Linked DNA regions of Arabidopsis thaliana. The protein of the gene in region 4 purifies or fractionates together with the protein of the main gene of each other region. This does not show direct contact. Each region holds a gene or a part of one and is shown on either strand. Other genes may lie near its edges.

What was found.
Region 1: the proteins of AT5G64670 (region 4) and NFD1 fractionate together in Arabidopsis thaliana (co-fractionation; one large-scale study listed by BioGRID). This does not show direct contact.
Region 2: the proteins of AT5G64670 (region 4) and AT1G16870 fractionate together in Arabidopsis thaliana (co-fractionation; one large-scale study listed by BioGRID). This does not show direct contact.
Region 3: the proteins of AT5G64670 (region 4) and AT4G14320 fractionate together in Arabidopsis thaliana (co-fractionation; one large-scale study listed by BioGRID). This does not show direct contact.

What each region holds. Positions count from the first base shown.
Region 1 is NC_003075.7:15,048,915-15,054,654, reverse strand, and holds NFD1 (Ribosomal protein L21), read left to right. Parts: upstream 1-2,903; 5' UTR 2,904-3,024; coding exon 3,025-3,459; intron 3,460-3,543; coding exon 3,544-3,624; intron 3,625-3,779; coding exon 3,780-3,881; intron 3,882-4,173; coding exon 4,174-4,248; intron 4,249-4,365; coding exon 4,366-4,485; 3' UTR 4,486-4,844; downstream 4,845-5,740. Other genes in the region: WRKY32 (WRKY DNA-binding protein 32), read left to right, coding at 747-927, 1,020-1,075, 1,397-2,052, 2,138-2,296, 2,391-2,739; LAP2 (Cytosol aminopeptidase family protein), read left to right, coding at 5,351-5,584. UniProt on the Arabidopsis thaliana protein: This protein binds to 23S ribosomal RNA in the presence of protein L20.
Region 2 is NC_003070.9:5,770,232-5,776,529, forward strand, and holds AT1G16870 (mitochondrial 28S ribosomal protein S29-like protein), read right to left. Parts: upstream 3,092-6,298; 5' UTR 2,927-3,091; coding exon 2,490-2,926; intron 2,382-2,489; coding exon 2,215-2,381; intron 2,008-2,214; coding exon 1,796-2,007; intron 1,716-1,795; coding exon 1,461-1,715; intron 1,345-1,460; coding exon 1,258-1,344; intron 1,187-1,257; coding exon 1,014-1,186; intron 845-1,013; coding exon 733-844; 3' UTR 501-732; downstream 1-500. Other genes in the region: ACR11 (uridylyltransferase-like protein), read left to right, coding at 3,565-3,719, 4,101-4,146, 4,233-4,370, 4,502-4,596, 4,738-4,822, 4,919-4,978, 5,309-5,364, 5,473-5,578 and 2 more.
Region 3 is NC_003075.7:8,240,553-8,246,411, forward strand, and holds AT4G14320 (Zinc-binding ribosomal protein family protein), read right to left. Parts: upstream 3,359-5,859; 5' UTR 3,254-3,358; coding exon 3,251-3,253; intron 2,680-3,250; coding exon 2,500-2,679; intron 2,351-2,499; coding exon 2,276-2,350; intron 2,192-2,275; coding exon 2,170-2,191; coding exon of another isoform or gene 2,132-2,169; exon of another isoform or gene 1,878-2,131; intron 1,474-1,877; coding exon 1,289-1,473; 3' UTR 1,180-1,288; downstream 1-1,179. Other genes in the region: AT4G14315 (uncharacterized protein), read left to right, coding at 442-621; AT4G14330 (P-loop containing nucleoside triphosphate hydrolases superfamily protein), read left to right, coding at 3,676-4,284, 4,361-4,516, 4,608-4,715, 4,805-4,915, 5,016-5,859.
Region 4 is NC_003076.8:25,851,211-25,856,858, forward strand, and holds AT5G64670 (Ribosomal protein L18e/L15 superfamily protein), read right to left. Parts: upstream 2,858-5,648; 5' UTR 2,671-2,857; coding exon 2,266-2,670; intron 1,977-2,265; coding exon 1,893-1,976; intron 1,795-1,892; coding exon 1,705-1,794; intron 1,592-1,704; coding exon 1,325-1,591; 3' UTR 1,031-1,324; downstream 1-1,030. Other genes in the region: AT5G64680 (mediator-associated protein), read left to right, coding at 3,223-3,339, 3,421-3,499, 3,560-3,664, 3,787-4,121.

The DNA.
Region 1 (5,740 bases), on a different chromosome or scaffold from region 4:
CTTTTTTTTGTATGCTGAAATGGGGCCATTAGAAGCCCTGAAGAAAATGAAGAATACAAACAATTTCGTTTTTTCCATTGAAATATTTTGCTATTTTCGTGCTGAGTCTTATCATACATTAAAGTACGTATATGTTTTTCCTCTTTCAGTCACTATTTTGGAAGAACGCAAAACAAACTCCACTTTTCTTGCAGTTGTTTCCTCTATAAAGTAAGTAATTTACCACTGTACTAATCTTTTCGGGGTCAGTCATGATCTAAACTAGATGGATCAACACAACAAAAAATTACCTTTGATATATCAAAATTCGTAGAACATTGACCATATTCATTATGCTATTTATCACCACATCACATGATAATAAACAAACAAACATCCTAGATAGTCTTAAGATAAATTTTACATAGTAAACTAAACGGAACACGTCAATGATTTGACGTGACGCAGGGGTGATTAACGGAGAAATAAACGGAGTTGGTTTAACTATCTACAGTCAAACAAAGACTGAAAGACATTAATGCCCCTTCTTTCTCTTTCTTTTTTGGTATCTTTTTTTCTTTCTTCTTTTGCTTTTAAAGCAGAGAAGGCATAATAAAGGACCAAAACGCAGCGTTTTCTTCCGGAGATCAGTCGGTCGGAAAGCGGCTACCTTTTTGTCTGCCTAGAGAATTTGTTCGTTTCTTTCTTTTACTCTCTTCAGACAAAACCCACGAGATACAGAAAAAGAGGACAAGAGAGAATCGTCCATGGAAGAAGACACTGGTATCGACGAAGCTAAGACATACACGGTGGAGAAGAGCGAGAAAGTGGAGCCGGAGAAGGACGGACTGAGTCAATTCAGAGACGAGGAAAAATCACTTGGTGCGGATATGGAAGATTTACATGATGAGACTGTGCGAGAAACCCTAGGCAAGGATCAGGTTCAAGGTAACGGTTTATTCTGCGCAAAATTCTTTATTGGTTTTTATTTATTTATTCGAGACTTTATTTTTTGACGAAATGATGTTTGAGTTTACCAGGTGTTCGAGAAAATTCCTCTGTGGAACCAAATGTTGAAGATGTATTAGAAGTGAATGTGAGTTTGCTTCAGACTCTTCTGCTATTCATAAACTTTCTTAACACTTACAACTTTGATTCTCTCATTAACATTGATTGTGCTAGAACTTGTAAAGTTTAACTCATTTCAGTGTCTTCGATGTTACTCGTTCAGTGATTATACAATAACATGGGAATAGGATTAATCGTAATGGTTTTAACCTTTGGCCAAGTTCAATCTGTATCTGTATCAGTTTGATCTGTTACATTTTAGTGTGTCTGATTTCTTAGGCAATTCTGAGGACAAGAATCACTGTTATCAAGGCATGACATTTAACTGCTTTTTGTATCACATTGGCAGGAGACTGATAGCGTCAAGGAAACTGTTGTAAGTGCGATTGTGCCGGTTGATGAAGTGGAAGAGAATCGTCAGGTAGAAACATCTCCTTCTCTGGCTGCATCGTCAGACTCATTGACAGTGACGCCATGTCTATCTTTGGATCCTGCAACTGCTTCAACCGCACAAGATTTACCACTGGTTTCAGTTCCAACTAAACAAGAGCAAAGATCAGATTCGCCGGTGGTTAACAGATTGTCGGTTACTCCTGTTCCTAGGACACCGGCTCGTGATGGTTATAATTGGAGAAAATATGGACAGAAGCAGGTTAAGAGTCCCAAGGGCTCACGGAGTTACTACAGGTGTACATACACTGAATGTTGTGCTAAAAAAATTGAATGCTCCAATGATTCAGGCAATGTGGTAGAGATTGTTAACAAAGGTTTACATACTCATGAACCTCCCCGGAAGACTAGCTTCTCCCCGAGAGAGATTAGAGTTACAACAGCTATCCGGCCTGTTTCAGAGGATGATACAGTAGTAGAAGAGCTATCAATTGTTCCTAGCGGTTCAGATCCGTCTGCTTCTACTAAAGAATACATCTGTGAGTCGCAAACACTCGTTGACCGGAAAAGACACTGTGAGAACGAAGCTGTGGAGGAACCAGAGCCAAAACGAAGGCAAGTTTGTAGAATTTTGCATTTCGGTGCTTACTCTTCACTTTGAAAGATGAAATTAATAGACTTTCTTCTCTCTATTTTTCAGACTGAAAAAAGATAACTCACAGAGTTCAGATTCTGTCTCCAAACCTGGAAAGAAAAACAAATTCGTAGTACACGCAGCTGGTGATGTTGGTATCTGTGGTGATGGATACAGGTGGCGTAAATACGGGCAGAAAATGGTGAAAGGAAATCCTCATCCAAGGTCTAGAAAACTAAACGCATGACCCATCTCTTTATCCACATATGACATCTTCTAATACGCATGGTGATTGATTTGTTCTGTTTCAAACATTCAGGAACTACTACCGATGCACTTCAGCGGGATGTCCAGTTCGTAAACACATTGAGACAGCAGTCGAGAACACAAAAGCAGTAATAATCACATACAAAGGAGTACACAACCACGACATGCCGGTGCCTAAGAAACGCCATGGTCCTCCAAGCTCAATGCTCGTAGCTGCAGCCGCTCCAACATCAATGAGAACCAGGACAGACGATCAGGTGAACATTCCGACTTCAAGCCAGTGCTCGGTGGGGCGAGAAAGTGAGAAGCAGAGTAAAGAAGCATTGGACGTTGGTGGAGAGAAAGTGATGGAATCAGCTAGGACTTTGTTGAGCATTGGATTCGAAATCAAGCAATGCTGATTATATGTAGTTTATGAGTTTTATAGAGTTCATCGACTCAATTTTCGCCTCCTTGTTCTTGTTATATAATAATAATAAAAAACCCCATGAAGATTACCAACTAAATACGTTAACATTCGTCTGTGTAATGATGGTATATGTTTATTGTGATATTAAATCGCTAATTTTAGTGAATAGCCTCTGGTTCGTCTAGAGGGTCTTCTGAAACTTGAAAGGGACTAAAAGACGAGAACAAAAACCCTTTCTCTCTACTCTGTGTAAACCCTAGTGTGTTCGTGCTCTCCGATGGCGAGTCTTCGATGCTTTCGTGAGCTGAGCCGCCGCGCTACGACTGTTTTCTCCATCAACCAGACGCGATCGATCTCTTCATTTCATGGGATTGAGTTTTCCGGGACCAGCATTTCTCATGGGACCGTAATTCCGAATCGATCTCTCACTAGGAATTTGCCATGGTACAGTCATTGGTATCGCTCTCAAGATCGTTGTTTCTCTTCGAACACAAAGGATACTGATGAAGATGAAGAAAGCAGTGAAGGAGAGGATGATGATGAGGAGGAGGGGGAAGACTTTGAGGATTCGGCGGATATGGAAGTAGAAAGGGAATATTCACCGGCGGAGAAAGTGGAAGAGGCGGAGGAGATAGGGTACAAGGTGATGGGTCCTCTTAAACCTTCGGAGAGACTTTTCAAACCCTATGAACCAGTGTTTGCCATTGTTCAGGTCTCGTCTCTGTGCTATCTCAATTAATCCTTTAGTTTCATTTCTCACTCTCACTGATGCTGAGTGGTTATTTTTATCCTGTAGATTGGTTCGCATCAGTTTAAAGTTAGCAATGGGGACTCCATTTTCACCGAGAAGTTGAAATTCTGTGACATCAATGATAAGGTATGCTAGCTTCAAGCTCTTCTTCGTTAATCTTTGCTATTCTTCTCTCAAAGGGCTAGACTTTACCGTATCTCTCGTAAGAAGGACGAACCTTTGCATTTGTGTTTATGATTTATGATTGTTGCTAAAACCTTTCTCTTTATGTCCCTTTGCAGTTGGAACTAACCAAGGTTCTTCTATTGGGCTCGGCAAGCCAGACGATTATTGGTAGGCCTATTTTGCCAGATGCGACAGTTCATGCTGTAGTTGAAGAGCATGTAAGTGTCTCATTGACTTGCTTGGTGTTTTATAATACTAGTGAAGCTGTGCTTAAGAATAATTTACAATTGAAAAGAGGATAGATGAGAGTTTGCTTGCTGAATCCGGTGACTGAGAGAAACTAAATCAAACTGTCTGCTGATTAGTTTGTGAAAGTCTTGCAAGTCATTAGATTAGTGTTCATCTATCTCTACATCATCTGAATGTCTTGATTTAAGATGGGCTTGGAATGTAGAAGGATCTACTCATGTACCAGCATTACTCAACTAGTTTTTCCTTGATGCGTGACAGGCTTTGGATGAAAAAGTGCTCATTTTCAAAAAGAAACGAAGAAAGAATTATAGGAGAACGAGAGGACATCGACAGGTATACTTTATAACTCCTTGTTTAGATAGACAGTGTGTTTATTTCATCTTTGCCTTCTTCTAGTTCTTTCCACTGTGTTATGATTGTTGTTTTTGACCATTCAACACTTGTGTCCAGGAATTGACGAAGTTGAGAATAACCGATATACAAGGAATTGAAAAACCAGAACCGAAGATCGTCCATAAGCCTTCGAAAGAAGCTGTTACAGAACAGACGAAGGCTGAGCTAGTTGCTTAGAGATAAAATTTGCTTCTTTCTTTTTTGCTGATGCCGATACATTTGAAGTAAGTTAAATTATCACTTGCTGTTCACTAAGAACTAGATTTTAAAGTCGTTGAAATGATGAAAAGGCCTTCTTGGTAGTTAGTGGTAAGTAACTAGGCTCCTGAGATATGAAATGTGATTTGCCTTTCACTGTCTTGTTCTCCTTGCTCTTCATTTTGTATTTAAACTGGCTCATGCTTGTGGGAGCTGTTTGTTGCTTCTGTTTCAGAAATAAAGATTTGCGGAAACATCTCTCTCCTTATCTTCTCTATGCTTTGTACTTTGTACTGTACTACTGTGGTTTGGTTATGGTTTAATTTACTTCTTCATGCAAGTCTCGGTCACAGATATGAAACTGGTGGTAAATTGGTAATAACTGCAAGTCACATTACACTCAAAATCTCGATTTTTTCCACTATGACTCTTTAGATCAGGTGATTATTATTGTAACTATATATGGCAACCACTTCCTCATCAACAAATGATTCACAGAATTGATAGTACTTGGAACTGATTTATAATTTCTTTTATCAACATCGGAAAATCGTGTAAGAATGCCTTGAAATATTTGAATGTTTGTAAATAGTATCAAAACCATTGTTTGTATAAATATGTATAAAGAACTTAAACAAAAGCAATTTGGAGCCAAAGAGAATTATAAAGCTACACGAGTACGTAAGTCCATGGTTAAGATCGGGTCGGGTGGGGACGGGTTGGATAAAAGCAAACAATGAGTCAAGTAAAAGAAGAATCATCGTCAACAAGAGAGAGAGAGAGATAAGCACAAACGCGGCTTTTCTTCTCCTTATAAATAAGAGAAGCTCAGTGCGTTACTCAAATGGCCGTCACTTTGGTAACGTCCTTCGCTTCTTCGTCTTCTCGCTTCCATTTCCGCTCATTCTCCTCTTCTCCGTCGTCTCTCTCCTCTTGTTTCGTCCGATTCCAGTTCCCCTCTCGCCTTAGACTCGCTTTTGCCGTCACGCCTCTCTACTCTTCTTCTAGAGCCATGGCTCATACAATCTCACACGCTACTCTCGGCCTCACTCAGGCTAACTCCGTCGATCATCCTAAGGTTTGTTCCTGATCGCTTGCAGCATTATTCGATTTTGCTGTTATGTGTTTAAACTCGATACTAGTGAATGCTTTGTAGATTCGTCGCTTTACTGTTTCCGATTAAGATGATCCACTGATTTGCTGACTTCGATTATGGTCAAGTCTTGTCAGAGAT
Region 2 (6,298 bases), on a different chromosome or scaffold from region 4:
TTTTTCATGAATCTGGAAAAAATGTGATCTTGCTGGTGGGTTCGTTTGGTGGTGGTTGTAGTGTTATTTTCTTTCCTTTTAATTCTCATTAAAATTTTTCTTTTGGGTCTCCGAGTTATTACGGTTAGGATGGTGATGCTTGGAGGGTGTGGTTTCATTTTCCTAAGATGAGCTAATTGTTTTTTCTTCTCATTCTTCTTCTTCGCCTTTTGGTTTGTATAGCTCTTCATGTCTATTCTTTTTCAATAGAACTTGTGTACTTTTCTCAATGTGTTATGTTATGTCTAAATTTTTCCTTTTTGTGAAAACAAACATCAATTTGGTGTTCTTTTTAAACCTATTTGGCTATCTTCTATGCTATATGGTTTTGGTGTAATCATAACTCCGCACAATAAATATGCAGTTCCGCAATTTCTTCCCATCAATTGCCTGTTTTGTGAGTGATTCTTTCACTCTTTCACAACTTTTTATTTTTGCATAACATTGTTATCAACTCGAGCGATAATAAATGAGAGGCACTGATTTTATTAGAAAGAAATTTAGGTCCAAAAACCAGTGTTTTACAGACAACAAGGAAACCTAAAACTACAAACTCAAACAACAAAAATCTTCCTTTAATTCAGAAAGGTCAATGAAAAGAGTTTCTCTCCCAAACTAACGGGATAACTTAAAACACCAGAAAAGGCGACAAATCAAGATCACAATCTATTTTGTTTGTTTGTATATTGTTCCTCAACGCATGAAAGGGGCTAACCAACGCATCTCTGCTCCATTTCCATTTGCCAGATAGTATATCTTCTTCCAGTTTTCTTCGTTGAATACTTCACGCCGAACTAGTCTTTGCCTGAAACAATACCATATTGAACGTTCGTGAAATCGATATTCGGTTTAGGCCCATACACATGTCAAGTAGATAGACTCAATAATGAACTATAACTAAAAAACGGGTCTGATCAGTTGAGAGGAGGATTACAGAGCTGAGTACTATTAAAATTGGTTTCATGTTAACTCACCGAAGGTAGTAATAGCAGACAGCTTCTGCTTCATCCAAAGAATAACGTGGGAATTGCTGACGAGCATCAACTGGAACATCTGGCAAGTCTTTGCGTAGTTTTCCTACTGCTGTTGAATGTGAGAATGCACCCACCATCATATCTTCATGCATCATGCTTCTGAAAGCATTCACCTGCCAAAAGAATTGAGTTAATTGCGATTTTTGTTTTCTGGATCATAAATCAATTTGGAAGAAAAATTCACCGTTGTAAGTTCTCTGGCATGTATAGGTCGGCAAGAACGCGGTGTTACGGGCTCTTCAAACTCGCTGAATGTAAACCAACTGTTATACTGAAAGACAAGTAAACAACAAGAAACAAGCAGCATTAGCTCTAGTGAAAAAGAGAGAGATTTAAAATAATAGAAGGCGAAATATGGTATCATAAAGGGGAAAACTGGGGACTAACTTGATCGATTACAATCAACACTGGTACATCTTTTACAACTGAGAGTTCTTTTCTAAGTCGCACAACGACATTAACAGCTGCATGAGTGCTCTTAATTCCCATTTGCACAAGGTCATACAGAGTTGAATCCTCGGGAATAGGCATAGCATCTGCTCCTTTCAAGTATCCAACACCCGCACCCTCTCCAAGCACGATAGGATCATGGATTTTGCACCGTAACTCTCTTAAGCGGGATTCATTGAACTTGACAAAATCCTACAGAAGTTAAGTTTATTAAGAAATGCTGTTAAATAGGAAGAATTCCATTCCAAAAGAGGAGGCATGTGGAATCTTGCCTTGAGAATATTCTCAGCTTGTAGAGGAGTGTCCCAAAACCCTGTATGTGGATTCTTATAGAAGTAGCCACCGTGAGTCCAGTCACGTCCTTTTGGTGCATATAAAACTAACCAGCCTTCGTCACGTGCCCAGTGAACAAGCATCGCCAGAGCAATACTCTTTCCACACTTAACAGGGCCATCCAAGACAATCTGCTTCTGAAGTTTGACACCTTTTCAGAAAGAAAGAGGAAGCAATGATTATAAATACCTATGGTATTACAGATCCCCGGATAAGGGCATATGACAAGCAAGACTTAGCAAACAAATTAGGCTGCTTTCGTTTCAAAGGAAAATAAAAACACACAAAACTGTTAACCATAGAAGAGATCACTAATCGTGATACTTAGAAATCAACATAACGGAAACAAAGAACACACCTTTACTGTCACTTGGCCACATGGGAGGATCAGCAATGCGTCTAAAATTATCCCTCAGAGCCAAGTAACTTTTTCTGACAAGCAATGCAGGTCTCCATGATTCATTAAACTCATCTTCAATTCCTGAAGCTAATCCTTCCGGCAGAACTGCTTTCAGTGCTGCCTCACTATCATTCCCACAATATATATATTACATCAACACACACAAAACGATTCATACAAAATTCTAAAAATAGATAAACAGAAACATAAGGGAAAGAGAGAATTGAGATTACTCGAATTTGAAGTAGGAGCCAATATCCTTGTGAGTCAGCTGCGATAGTGTAGTATCTTTGGGAGTAAAGAGAGGCCTTCCATTAGGACCAACATCTAGAGACGGAATCTTCTCATCATCAGCTAGTCTCTTGGCACGACCCGCTTCAAGGTCGTCTCCACCGGCGGCTCCAAACTCTCCTTCCTCAGCTCCGGCGGCACCAGGATCGCCGCCTTTAGGTTTGGATTTTTTGCCTTCAGATTTCTTCGTTTTGGTGATTGAAGATTTCGTGCTCTTCGAAGATGAAAAGCATCGATGAACGTGATCTAAACTCGGGAAAAGTGTTCCCACGGCGGCTGAAGTCGGAGGTGAGAAATGACAAACGGTATTATTTAGAATCGAAGACTTCCGATTCAATTTGGCATTCCCGGCGGCGATTCTTAAACCGTACTTCCACATTTCTCTGGTTCGTATCTCTTGAGTCTGACTCAAGGTTTTAGGGAGGGATTTGGACGCAAATCTGACGAACCAACGAGAGGGATGAAGCAGCGAGAAAGTGGCAAACTTGTAATTTTCGATATGATGATCACTTTAGCGTTAGGCCCATTAAACAGTGGGCTGAAGCGTTTGAGATGAAAGTTTGGGCCATAAAGGCCATTACTTATAAAGGATGACGTCATGTTCCATTTAACCTAGTTATTTGTTTTAGCGCCACCTAATGTTTTAACTAGTCGGTAAAACACTGACCAATAGCATGTCACATCCGATAAAATCGGGGCCAATAGGAATGTGAAGAATTTGTCGAATTGTGTACTTTTTTAAATTTTAAAAGAAGACAATATTTGGTGGAATTTAAAAAGAAAATGTAAAAGTAGGCAAGGAAAGGGAAAGCAAGAGAAATGGCGATCTAACGTTGAAGATAATAAGAAGGACGAAACGGGCATTTTTTTTTTGTGTGTGTGTGTCACATCTTTTTTATTATCCTCTCATGGCGGATAACACGAGACCTGTCCAAAGGCTCTTCTTCTTCTTCGTCATCACTACTACTACTCCTCTCTAACGTTTTCCTCATTCTTCTTAATTCCGATTTTTGAGTGATGGCTATGGCCTCTGCTTCTGGTTCTGCTCTTTGCTTCACTGATGCTTCTAGCTCTCTTGCTTTAAGACGCGATTGTGGAGCTCTTTGCTTGCCTCCTAGGACAGTTACGTTTGGATTTGTCGATAAACCTCTTGTCAATCTCGAGCGATTAAGGTTTTTGTTTTTTGGCTATCTCTTGATGCCTTCTTGAGAATTTGAATTCGAGCTTCTTTTGGATTGCTTTTTCGATTGTGATCTTAGTTTTGTGCTGATTCGAGTTTCATGAAGTAAATACTGTTTCCGAAACAAATTCTTTTGTAGTGAATTTTCTCCACAGATCTCTAAATCCTTAAAAAGCATCTGATACCTTTTTTTAACGATTATCAGAATTTTGTGTTCCGAGTTGCTAATCTTTTTAAAATGTCCAAATGATTTTATTGCTGGTTATAAATTCGTATCTTTTGCTGGAATTCGATTCAAAGCACAGATTGTTTTGAGCTGATCTTCTACGGATTCAAATACTTCAATTCAATTCTTTTTTTTTTTTTTCTTCAGATTATCCACTTTGAAGATTAGAGCATCAAATGCTACTGCTGTGGAGGTATGAAAATGAAATGATTACACAAGGACACTAGTAATTTGAATAGACTTTTTAAAGTTTATATGTTTTTGTTTTTGATTTTGAAGAATGGAAAGCAAGAAGGAAGTGCTGCTGATTCTGATAAAGTTCCAACTCCAGTTGTTATAATCGACCAAGATTCTGACCCTGATGCAACCGTTCTTGAAGTTACATTCGGAGATCGTCTTGGAGCTTTACTTGACACTGTAAGGAAGGATACCTTCTTCTTACTCACTTGTTGCTAGCTCTGCATAATCGACCAACATTCACAAAAGCTTCTTACTTCCTTTCCTGCTTTTTTGACTGCTTCTTGATCTGATCAACTTTGCCCTTCTAGATGAATGCGCTCAAAAACTTGGGATTGAATGTCGTCAAGGCAAATGTTTACCTTGATTCTTCCGGCAAGCACAACAAATTTGCCATTACTAGAGCGTATGTCTTTTCATATCATCAAAGAGTATTTTGAGCTCCAAGAGTCGTTTAGATAGTTAATGTTGCTTTGAATCGATTGACTCTGTCAAATAGTTGACTTTAGATTGAGTTTTGAGCTGACTGTAATTGTTGTTACAACAGAGATAGTGGAAGAAAAGTAGAAGACCCTGAATTGCTTGAGGCCATTCGTCTCACAGTCATAAACAATCTGCTTGAGTTTCATCCTGTAACTACTTCACATCCTAATATCCTCTCTTTCTATTTTTCCTATATCTTGCATAATTTTTTAACTCACACATTGCTTCTCGATGATTTGGATCAGGAATCAAGTTCTCAGTTGGCAATGGGAGCAGCTTTTGGTGTTCTTCCTCCAACTGAACCGGTAAAAACCTTAAACTGTGATGCTCTTTTTATAACCTTATCCACTTCTTTTGTATTGCACTAATTCTTCAAGTAGTTAGCATCCTCGAACATAAAGGTCAAGACTGCTTGTCGTTTCCTCGGTCACGTACAGATAAGAAACAATAATAGAGAAAACAAAGACTTAACTAATAATCAACATATTTGGATTTGGCGGGTCAATGTAGAGTACAAGTATTAAACTTCATTATAGTATTAATCACTTTGATGAAGAAGGGAATACCCACGCAACTTCAAAGTAGCTTCAAAATTCATTTTCCTTCTTCTGTATTTTGGATTGGGATGTTGACAGATTGACGTGGACATAGCAACACATATAACCATTGAAGATGATGGACCAGACCGCAGGTAATGTATACCCATACCTTATCTCAACTCTAGAACCTTATCCAAATGCTTTTATTCTTATGATATATGATCTGATCATTGATCCATAATTATTTGTTGATGATGCAGTTTACTCTTCATAGAATCAGCGGATAGACCTGGACTATTAGTTGAGCTGGTGAAGATCATTTCAGATATCAGCGTCGCTGTTGAATCTGGAGAATTCGACACCGAGGTATCTAATAATCCTGTTTTTTAATGTCTAAAACATATACCCTCCGCTATAATATCGCTCTGTTTCTCATGTTGCTTCTTCTTGTTGTATGTGAAACAAAAAGGGTTTGTTGGCTAAGGTGAAGTTTCATGTAAGCTACAGGAACAAAGCCCTAATCAAGCCTCTCCAGCAGGTTAAAATTCTGAAATTAGACTTTTCTCTTTGATAAGTTGAAATGTTTTTACTGAAATGAAATCAAATTTTGTATTTGTAGGTCCTTGCTAATAGTCTGAGGTACTTCTTGAGGCGTCCATCAACTGACGAGTCAAGTTTCTGATTATGCCCATTTTTCAAAATCTCAAGTCTCATTCCTCGTGACTACTATTTTTACCACTTTTTTTTTTTTTTACATTTGACCAAAATAAGCTGCTTCATACACCTGTAATAGTAACATTATGCATCATTCATCCAATTTACTTTGATTCACAACCTGTGAAAATCTGATTATCTACACCACTTTATAAAGATTATTATAGAGCATATATAACAAAAACAAAGATCAAAAGCAAGCACAATTGAAGAAAGTTAGATTCCAGATATGGGTAAACGAGTCTTAGATCCCCCTAGTTATACAAATTCAGAGAGTACAAATCTTTTTCCTCTGTTTTCAGAAAAAGGATTCAGATAAAACCTTGAGATAGAGTTTCACCATATATAATGTTATTTAAATGACAATGATCT
Region 3 (5,859 bases), on a different chromosome or scaffold from region 4:
ATTGATTAACGAAACGCAGCGTTTAGGTAAATTTATTAAACACGTGATAGCAACAAATGCAGAACGCGACATTTTGAAACACGTGGCAGTGTAGAAATAGCGACACGAATTTTGTTAACTAAAACGCTGCGTTTTTAATAAAATATACAGTAACAGTTGAATAGTTGATTGCGACACGAAACGATGCGTTTAGGGTATGCTGTTTTTAAAACACGTGGCAGCAACAAATAAACCGAAACGCAGCGTTTTGAGGTGGTTATTAACGTGAAAGGTCTCGCCAGTTTTTGTGTTTCATGCATTAGTACACGAAACGTTGTCTTCTACTTCTCGGGGAAACGACACAACCGTAGATTTGATGTCTGAATCTGTGTATATATAACTTCTCCAATTAGAGACACTAACACAGAATTGATCACTACTCCTATCGAAAAGTAGACGAAAATGGCGAATGAGTATGGATTCGGGATGGGTTCGGTTTTGGCGATTGTTGTCGTTGCACTAATGTTACTGTTTGTTCCGTTGATGATGGGACCGGTGACTGCACCATCTCTTCCAATGATCTTGATGTTTCCGGTCGTATTGCTCTTTGTGTTTCTCTATCTCCATTTTACTTCCAAGTGATCAAACATCAAATCTCTTTCTATTATTATCGTGTAATATGCAGTACGTATTTATTTCGATAGTATTGCTCTTACGTTTTTGGTTATACATTTATAAAAACAAAAATTGTATTTGTTCTATTATATACAATATATCAATTGACTAACGCATGCGCAGTTGGTTTGGATCTCTATTGATTTGCAAGTAAATTTTTTGGATTTATCTTTCTTTCTCACTTCGTTTCTTACATTATTAGAGAATTTGACTTACATCGCGATGTATGTTTTACAAGCAAGTAGAATCGATGCCACTTTCCTTAGATATTAGCGTAGTAGACAATGTCAATGATCGAGAAATATACACAAAAGTACCTAACTTTTGTCAGCATGAACAGATTTGAATGATATTACGTAATTGTAGAGAAGAAACTTACCTTAAAATTAACACCTCTAAAAGGTAAGAATGTGTTAGTAGAAAATGGCTATTCATATTGTAAAATTAAAAGGCCGTATAATTAGTACAGAGGAATTCGACTTGGAAACAGAAAATTAGAGATTAAATAAAACACGAATTTTAAATAACGGAAATAAAACTTTAGTGTAAATTATCTATACCCATAATATATATAGTACCAGAATCTAAGTATAATAAAGTAAAAAAAGAAAAACTGAAGTAGCATCCTTGACCGTCACCACATCTTCCGCCGCTGGCTGCCTGGCTCCACCACCACCACTACTACATTCACCGGTTCATTGTCAATACCACCACCAACAGGTCCTTCTCCTCTATCACCACAGCAGCCAGGACCACCACAGCAGACACAAGAGAATATCATCTCATCTACCATTTTGCCCGCACAGCTCTCAATTAAAACTAACACAAAGGCCAAAACACATAGGACTATCATGGTAATATAAAAAGAGTTGTTCATGTTCTCTTTTGTGCAATAAGGAGCCAGGAAACATGTTCTTCTATTTATATAATTTGGTTTTATTGTAACACATTAGTTTCGGGTCAGCTAATGGCATGATTATCATATAGCCAAAATAGAACCTTCATTTTCCATTCACGTTGCGGGGAATATAGAACCACCAATATACCGAGGAGAAACTTCTGTATGCTCTTAAGAAATTTAGTGAAAGTTAGTATGGCTGAAGTTAAAAGAAGAAAACAAATAATATTTAGTATTATCAATTCATTTCTATACGTATATGTCATTTTAATTTGCCAAGCTCATATATAACACTGATTTGCAGCACAAAACGATAAATGATTTTTCGAGATCCGAAAATAGAAAGTGGTTTTTAGAACTTAAAGAGTGTTATGTCTACTTTGTCGCAAGTTATAGAGAATACTCAAGGGCAGCCTAATGAAGAAAGATTGGTTAACCAAATTAAAAGACATCCATAAGACCAAGTCCTATTTAAATTAAAAACCAGGACCATTTCTGGTAGATTCAAAGTATATCACAGTATTGAAGCAGGACAGGTACCAAACAAAACAAAAAAAAGTAGATAGATGAAACAACAACTTAAAAGAGAGATGTTCCCTTTCCCTTCTTGTCTCCACCGATCTCAAAGTGCTTGCACCTCTGCAAAAACCACACACAAAGTGTAAGAAACAGAACTGAGACTAAAGAGTGATTAACAAAGGTAAAGAATGTCGCAGACATTACCTTAATCGGGCGTTGCGAGAAATGCTTGCAGCTTTGGCATTGAAGCCTCAGCACAATCTTCTTAGTTGTCTTAGCCTGTTCCAAAGAAAGACAAATAATGAGCAAGGTCCAATTAACAAATCATTCCTATAAGACATATTTCACAGAGTCAATTCTGAAATCCTAAATTGGTTCTCACATAGAAGACAGTAATTAGAGATCAAGACAAGGAAAAGCGAGTATACCTTCTTGTGGAAGACGGGCTTGGTCTGACCTCCATAACCAGATTGTTTACGATCATAACGACGCTTTCCTTGGGCAGCAAGGCTATCTTTACCTTTCTTATACTGCGTCACCTTGTGCAAGGTATGCTTCTTGCACTCCTTGTTCTTGCAGTAAGTGTTCTTAGTTTTCGGAATGTTCACCTACAGAAAACCAAGTTTAAAACTACCACAAGATACAGTTTCAACAGCATACAGAATTAATTACGATCATAGAAGTGAATCTAAATACGCCCTTCAGAACAAACCCTAAAACTTGTTAATAAAATTTCCTGCTTCTCCTAAATCATTCAGAATTAATTGCTACCATACGATCTGACTACTCAACTAGTCAATATTGATAACCATTTTGTGAATCCTACAAGTCCCTGAAGTACAAATCCTTCTTAATTCTCCTAAAAATCAGAACAGAATTGCAGCAACACAAATGAAGATACATAACACTATATCATTTTGAATCTCTGGTAGATTGGAGCTAAAACTCTTCACAGAGACGAAGTGAACTGAATCTTCGAATTTACAACACAGAATGCAACATAACAGATTCTAAAAATCACAATTAGACTCTAATAATTCTCGATTTAAGATGCAAAATCAGAAATAAACAACTTAAAGAAGAAGAAAAATCACACAGCAGATCTATAATCAATAATCTCGTTCTTCAATAGTAACCAAGGAGAAATTTAGCAGAAATAAAGAAAGAGAAGAGAGTCACCATTTTCGCTCTTCGGTGAAGCTCGTGCCGTCGTCTTCCACTGCCGCAAAACCTTTAATAAAAACCTAAAGTAACAGAGCTTATAAGAGAGACATTTGAGAAAACCCTAATACTACAAACATTGGGCCTCTATAAACACAAAAAGCCCATTAACTTAATCAAAAAGTCAGGCCCATCTCACTTCCCTTTTTTAAAAGAAAGTAAATATATTCTAGTTGCCGAAAATAAAAATTGTTAATAATCAGTGGCCCGTGGACAAAAACTAGCCGTTTAGAGATACAACACAACGGTTATGTTTGTTTCTTTGTTTCAAACTTCAAACCTCGTGAATCACTCACAAACCCTAATCCCCTTTTTCATTTTCTCTCTCTCTAACGCTCTCTGAATCTCAATTTCAATTTCACTCTTTCGAAACTTCTTCAACAATGGCACCGACACCATCTTCTTCAAGATCAAATCAAACTCAATACACCTTAATCAGAACTCCACAAACAAAACAACGTCTCAATTTCCACTCAAAAACCCCAAACCCAGACGGATCTAAAGATCCATCTCCACCGGAGCATCCAGTTGAAGTAATCGGCCGGATCCGAGATTACCCTGACCGGAAAGAGAAATCACCTTCGATCTTACAAGTCAACACAGATAATCAAACGGTACGAGTCAGAGCTGATGTTGGGTACAGAGACTTCACACTCGACGGTGTTTCTTTCTCGGAGCAAGAAGGTCTTGAAGAGTTCTACAAGAAGTTTATAGAAGAGAGGATTAAAGGAGTGAAAGTTGGGAATAAATGCACGATTATGATGTATGGACCTACTGGTGCTGGAAAGAGTCATACTATGTTTGGTTGTGGGAAAGAGCCTGGGATTGTGTATCGTTCTTTGAGAGATATATTGGGAGATTCTGATCAAGATGGTGTTACTTTTGTTCAAGTTACTGTTCTTGAGGTTTATAATGAGGAGATTTATGATCTTCTTTCGACTAATAGTAGTAACAATTTAGGTATTGGTTGGCCTAAAGGAGCAAGCACTAAGGTAAAGTTTCTTGATTGATAACTTTAGTATACATTGAATTGGCTTTAAAGGTGTGTACTTTGTTGTTTTGTTACAGGTGAGGCTTGAAGTAATGGGGAAAAAGGCGAAAAACGCAAGTTTTATTTCTGGGACAGAGGCTGGGAAGATTTCTAAAGAAATTGTCAAAGTGGAGAAACGGAGAATTGTGAAGAGTACACTTTGTAACGAAAGAAGTTCTCGGAGTCACTGCATTGTAAGAACGATCTTCTTGATTGATGTGTATGCATAGCTTTATGCAGCTTATCTCTGTTTTAACTTACTAGTGTGGTTGTTTCTTTTTGTAGATCATACTTGATGTGCCAACTGTTGGGGGAAGATTGATGCTTGTTGACATGGCTGGTTCTGAAAATATAGACCAAGCTGGGCAGACTGGATTTGAAGCTAAGATGCAAGTAATGTTTCCTCTCTCAATTTGTTTGATTCTACTAAAGTTATTGTAGTTATGGATATCAACTGACTTATATCTCTCATTATTCAACAGACTGCTAAGATCAACCAGGGAAATATTGCACTGAAGCGAGTTGTGGAATCTATAGCAAATGGAGATTCTCATGTACCCTTTAGAGACAGCAAGCTGACCATGCTTCTCCAGGTGAAATTCTTGTTCCATTGTTTTATCTTCTGGAAAATGTTTTACGTGTTGCTTGGTTTTCTTGAAGATATTTAGTGTTGTTTCTATTCTCTGAATGCAGGACTCTTTTGAAGATGACAAGTCAAAGATTCTAATGATCCTGTGTGCGAGCCCGGATCCAAAGGAAATGCACAAGACTCTCTGTACTCTAGAGTATGGGGCAAAAGCAAAGTGCATAGTTCGTGGGTCTCATACTCCAAACAAAGATAAGTATGGGGGTGATGAGTCTGCTTCTGCTGTGATTTTGGGATCAAGAATAGCTGCCATGGATGAGTTCATTATCAAACTCCAGTCTGAGAAGAAGCAAAAAGAAAAAGAAAGGAATGAGGCACAAAAGCAGCTGAAGAAGAAGGAAGAGGAAGTTGCTGCTTTAAGATCTCTTTTAACACAGAGGGAAGCTTGTGCTACCAATGAAGAGGAGATAAAAGAGAAAGTAAACGAGAGAACCCAGCTTTTGAAGTCGGAACTAGATAAGAAACTTGAAGAATGCCGAAGAATGGCTGAGGAATTTGTTGAGATGGAGAGAAGGAGAATGGAGGAAAGGATAGTTCAGCAGCAAGAGGAACTGGAGATGATGAGGAGACGGTTAGAGGAAATCGAGGTTGAGTTCCGCCGCTCAAATGGAGGAAGTGTTGATGAAACTAGTGGGTTTGCCAAAAGACTCAGGAGTCTTTACTCTGATGATGATCCTGGTATGGTGAAGTCAATGGACCTTGACATGGGTGATCCAGAACCTGTCAAGCAAGTGTGGGGAGCTGTTTCACACCAATCAAGCAACACTATTAGTAGCAACTTCACTAACCTTTTGCAACCGAAGCCTTCAGAGAATATGCTTACACAGATGTATCCTGACCGGGTATGCTTGAGCACTGTCTTTGAAGAAGAAGAAGTTGAAGAAGAGGAAG
Region 4 (5,648 bases):
ATTTTATTTTTTTTTGGTAATGCCAAGAAAATGGTTATTTTTGTTTGATTAATGTCGACAAGGCTAAACATATGATTTATTATTATGAAATTGTAATTGGAAGTTGTATTATTTTTTGGATAGCTCGAATTTGTAATATTGCACGTATCAAAGTGTGTGAGCCGATCATCCTCATGATATACACGTGTTCTTGTTATTATAATAATAATTTAACTATCTGAAAAAGTTTATGATTAGTTCGAAAATTGACTTTGAATATTATATCACAAGGACTAATTTGTATGTGTGTTTGTAAAAGAATAGATCAAATCTTTAAACTTTAAAGAGGTTTGAAATATATGGTGTAACTAAAAAGTCTGATGTAGAATGGTCTTGAGATTTATAATCGACTTTTTTCTTGGGATCTATCGATTTGTTTTAATGATAACCAATAATGTCTTTGAAATGTCTATTGTGATTTGTCAATGTGATGGACCAAGGTTGCATCTAATTCTATAGCCATTTAATTTATTTTGACATTAAACGTGACATTTATGCCGGAAGGTGATCATCAATAGGTACATAAGATCAGAAAGGTGTGATCAATAGAAGAAGATAAACAGAAACATTTTTAAAATATAGTGTATGATATTGAACTGCACTTGATTTTAAACAAATACGTAATGATCATTTTTAAAGACAAATAAACCGATCTAATTACATATTTATTTGATAATAAAATACCAATCGAGTACTCTTTTTTTTTCGTAGTTATTTAATATAATCAATGCTATAATTAACAGTACAGTACTCATCATTACATGTTTGTTAAGAGTAATGAGTTCTGAAACCTCGAAATCTATCTTCTTCTTCTTTAATCACGTTCGGTTGTTCAAATTCAGACAATCATAGCCCCTTTTCGATAAATTAGGTAAATTTCGCACATCGTTTTGGTAAAATAACACTGCAAAAAAGGGACATAATCTCATAACCTATATATTTGCAGTTGCAGATTTTAGCATCTTTAGTCAAAAAAAGCAAAGTTACCATTGAACTCATTAACATTAACAACGCCTCAACCAAACCGGATAATAATGAATTCAAATCTAACGTGATTGTTCTCTGGTTTTCTCAACCTTCTACAAGAACAGGCCTTGATCCCAAACAACAAGTCTGAAAATGGTTGAATAACTTGTTGTGGCCAACTACAGATAAAGTAAAACGAGAAAGACCTTATTTGTCAAATTAAAATCCGACATTCTCAATTTTCTAGTGGTGAACATTGACCAAGAAACAACACAAACAACTTAAACAGAAACATCAAACGTTAAATGGCAGCCCAAAATTATGATTCAACAGGAGATTCAACTTTGGTCTCCTCAGCTGCAAAGAAGGGAATGGGTTTTTTCGGAGCTGGAAGACGTCCAATGCTATCAACCTTATCTTGTTGTTTAGGAGGTGGTCGCGCTGCTTTTGGCAATAACCTTCCTTTCTTCTCAAACCATTCCGGTTTAAGCAATGCCCTTAAGCCCAACTTGTTGTAATACACTCTTCTCACTGATCCTCCTGCTGCTTCCACCACCTCTTTGGCCCTAACCGTCACTCTCGAAACCTGTAATAAACACGCTCATACCGATCAACTGAACATCTAACTAAGCAAATACATTGACTGGTGCAACGGCTCTAGAGACTACAGAGCAAAAGTTAATAACGCAAATGATAAACCTCGAAATGAAGTGGCCATTTGATATCATCAGCACCACGACCCATTAGTCTTACTCCATCTTCTATTTGCTTTCCTATGGCTCCCACATCCTGCAAACCGACGTTAATGTGTTCAGTAAGAATCAGACATATTAAGAATCCTAAACTCAATTTAAACCGTTGAATCAAAGAGTGAAGTATGACCGAACCTTGAGCGTTTTCATTGTAATCAATTCATGAGAATCTATCTTCCCAGCGTTTATGAGTTTAGCAATCTTCCCTAGACCAACCGGCTGCATCACAAAACAATCATAAACATCTTTAGTCGCTGCATCAATAGAGTGTCAAATCCTAAATCCTTACACACACAGTATAACCTACTTCACCACAAGCAGCTAAAGAACAGCAATAATGGCATACAGAAAGAAGAACAAGAGTGATCCATCTGATTTAGATTCTCAAATTCGACCTAATCTAAGGAATCAATCACAAATGTTAACCCTTCGAATCAAGGGAAGCTACAAAATCCGAAACTTGACCTCAGAAATGAAAATCCCAGAACTAAAAGGCACAAGCTTGAACCTGAAAATGGAGCTTAAATTTGTTCTTGAAGCCACGTTTGGGTAAACGACGTCGTAGTGGAGTCTGACCACCTTCGAAACCAAACTTCATCGTTCCTCTCGCTTTTTGCCCCTTGTGACCTCTTCCAGCAGTTTTACCTTTACCAGACCCAATACCTCTTCCTTTCCTCGTCTTGAGTTTTCTCGGCACATTGTCTCTCAGATCGTTCAAGCTCAATAAACTATAAGCCCTGATTCCTTGAAACGACAAAGCCCTGCTCGTAGAGGTCGGAATTTGAGTAGAGATCGGAGAAGGACGGCATTGAAGAAGTGGTGAAGAAATGATGAATCTGGGTTTCGCGGTTTGATGAAACGAAGAATTGATGAGTGATGTTGATATGATCGACAAGAGTCTTCTTCTTAACATTTCTTCGTTGCGGGATCAAGTAGATTTCGATTTTAGAGATCTCCTGATGAAATTTTGATTATTCCATTTTGGGGATTTAGGGTTTATGAGATTTCAGTGAAGAGCTACTGAATCATCCATCACCATTGCTTTCTTCTTCAGTACTGTCACTTAAAGGCCCATTATGGCCCAAATGTCTTTTCCACCCGCCAATTCACTAAACTATGTCGTTTTGAGTGAACTTCAAAATAAAATAAAACAGAGAAATAAATTGGGAAGGGTTTTAGGTCATCGCCGAATTGCTATTTCTCCGGTAACGATTCTCTCTCTTTTCCGCCGCCGACGAAGCCATCTTTCTTTCTCTTTAGCTTTCTCGTTCCGATTTGCATCCAGTTTCTTGATTTTTCTAACTAATTTATGTCTTTTGAAGAGATTTATAATTGCGATTTTGACAGAGTTTGAGTTTGTTCAAAAGCTTTGTTTATTATATATGTTAAAGCTCTCGCTATATTTAACACTTGTTTTCTCGATTTTGCAGGTTTTGTGAAATCGCGAGAGCTGATTTGAGCAGAGATGGATTTCGATTTCAAAGTTTCCGGAGATTTCATAGTCAGTGGCGCAGAGCAGCTAGATGACACTGATTTGACGCGTTCTGATGAGTTTTGGCTTATCCAAGCCCCTTTAGGCCAAGTATGTTTAGAGAATGATTCTTTATTGCAAATTTGATCCTCATGTAATGTTCTACAGCTAAATGACTTTTCTTTATCGCAGTTTCCAGAAATCGAAGAGAACACTCTTAAGATTGAGCCAGACAAAGATGGGTTATTTGGAGAATTCAAGGATTCAAATGGTATGTTTATGTTTTGTGTTCTTTCATACTCTTTAATATTTTAGTTTTGATCTCCAAAAGCTGGCTCATTACACCTTTGTTTAGGTGCAAAGTATGATCTTGCTAGCTTTCATTCTCAAGATGCTGGTGCAGAGTTGATTATACCTTCTGAAGAATCAATGATTGGTATATTCCCATTACTTTACAGTTGTGTCTTGTTTAGGTTTTGGTCGTTCAGTTTACACAGTTTTGTTTTACCACCTGTTTCGTTAATAATGATTCTTCTGTTGTTGTTCGTTTTATGATAGTTGGGAAGATTACTCGGCGAGTTGCATTAGTTCGTTACCCTGAACCAAACGAGTTGCTTCAGAAAATGAAGGCTAGAACACAACAGAAGCTTGTCGGATCAGTGACGAATTCCTCTAAGAAATCATCTAACCTTACTCAAAGCAGCCGGCATAAAAGCGGCACACGTAGCAGCAGAGAGAAGAGCATGTTCTCTGGCTTCACCGAGACTCCAAAGTCGCCAAAAAGAAAAAATTCAGAGTCTTCCTCAGGTAAACATCGGAGCTCAACAAGTACGGTTTCAGGCTCTTCAGAACGATCAGCAAAGTCCAAGAAGAAGGTGAAGAAGGAAGAGTAAAGATCTTTGCTCCTGTTTTTTTCAAAGAGAATGTTTGTGACTGTTAAGATGTTGAATTTCGATTATGCAGATGATAAACAGCCAGTAATGTATTCAAATTCATAAGTTATTTCGCCGTAGATGCTTATAAAAGTTCAAGCTTATTAGCTACCATGGAACAAAGTAAAAGTAAAATACAGCTTTTCAGCTATGTTTGTTGTTCTTTTGTCTTCAAGCCTCTGTGGTTGGAGTTGTTGCAGAGTCTTGTGATATTGGCTTCCATTGTTGCGGAGTTTGAGCTTTCGTTATCGAGAGAGCATGGATTTCTTTCATCTCTTCTTCAAGAGCAGCGTTCACAATACGGTGCCTCTCGAGCAATCTCTTCCCCTCAAACTGTTCCGAGATAATCTCAACCACAAAACTCGCGCCACAGCTGGGAAAAAAGGGTAAAGTTTAAATTGAAAACTGGAGATGAGATGTCAAAGGTCGATGATTGAATAAATGGTATAGTGATCATAAGACTTTACCCTCCAGATGTGTCGATGACTTCCTGGTTTTACACATGAATTAAACCAAGTCAGTGATGTTGTTATAAAGAAATAAGATCACTTATGCCCAAACCACATAAGTGAGTAGTCATGTTAATATGGGCTAACCCACCCCAATTAAACCCACCCCATTTAAAGTGACAATATCATTTCCATAGCCATTTGCTTTATATCCTCATCATCACAAGTGACGTACTTCTTCAATAGTAATTCAATCCTCCATACTTGGGTGAAGTATACATTCGATGTCGGATACTTGGAACCTGAAATATAAGTAGTGATTACACTAAATGGCTTCAACAAGTCACAAATCTTTTCACCACGATCCCACTCATCATCTGATGGTAAAGACTTATAATTGGTGTCAAAAGCCTTCATGCTATCAAATGCTTTTCTAAACTTCAATGCTCTAGCGAGCATTTCATATGTAGAGTTCTATCTGGTTGGAACATCAAGAGATAACCCTGCCCCACTCCTTATTCCCACTCTCTCTACACAGGCTGCAAATGCCTCTTTCCTCTGTGGAGATGCTTTAACATATAAAACACTTTCTCGAATGTTGTGTAAAACATCCTTAGCTAACTCTAAACCTTTCTTGACAATGATGTTAAGAATATGAGCACAACATCTAATGTGCAGAAATTTCCCATCACATAACAAACCACTGCCACTAATCATCTGAAGCTGACCCTTGAGGATTTTCACCATACTATTATTATTGGTAGCATTGTCTAGAGTCATAGAAAGTACCTTTTTTTCTAGTCCCCATTCCTTTAAACAATCAAGAATCCTATTAGCAATATGTTCACCAGTGTGCGGAGACTTCAACTCACAAAAATCTAGAATATAACTGTGTAAATGCCAACCTTCATCGATAAAATGCCCAGTTACACAAATATAACTCGTCATACTAGCCTTAGCTGACCACAAGTCCGAAGTAAAAGAAACTCTACCACGATGCTTTGCAAAAAGCTCTTTTAACTTTTCTTTTTCTACTTCA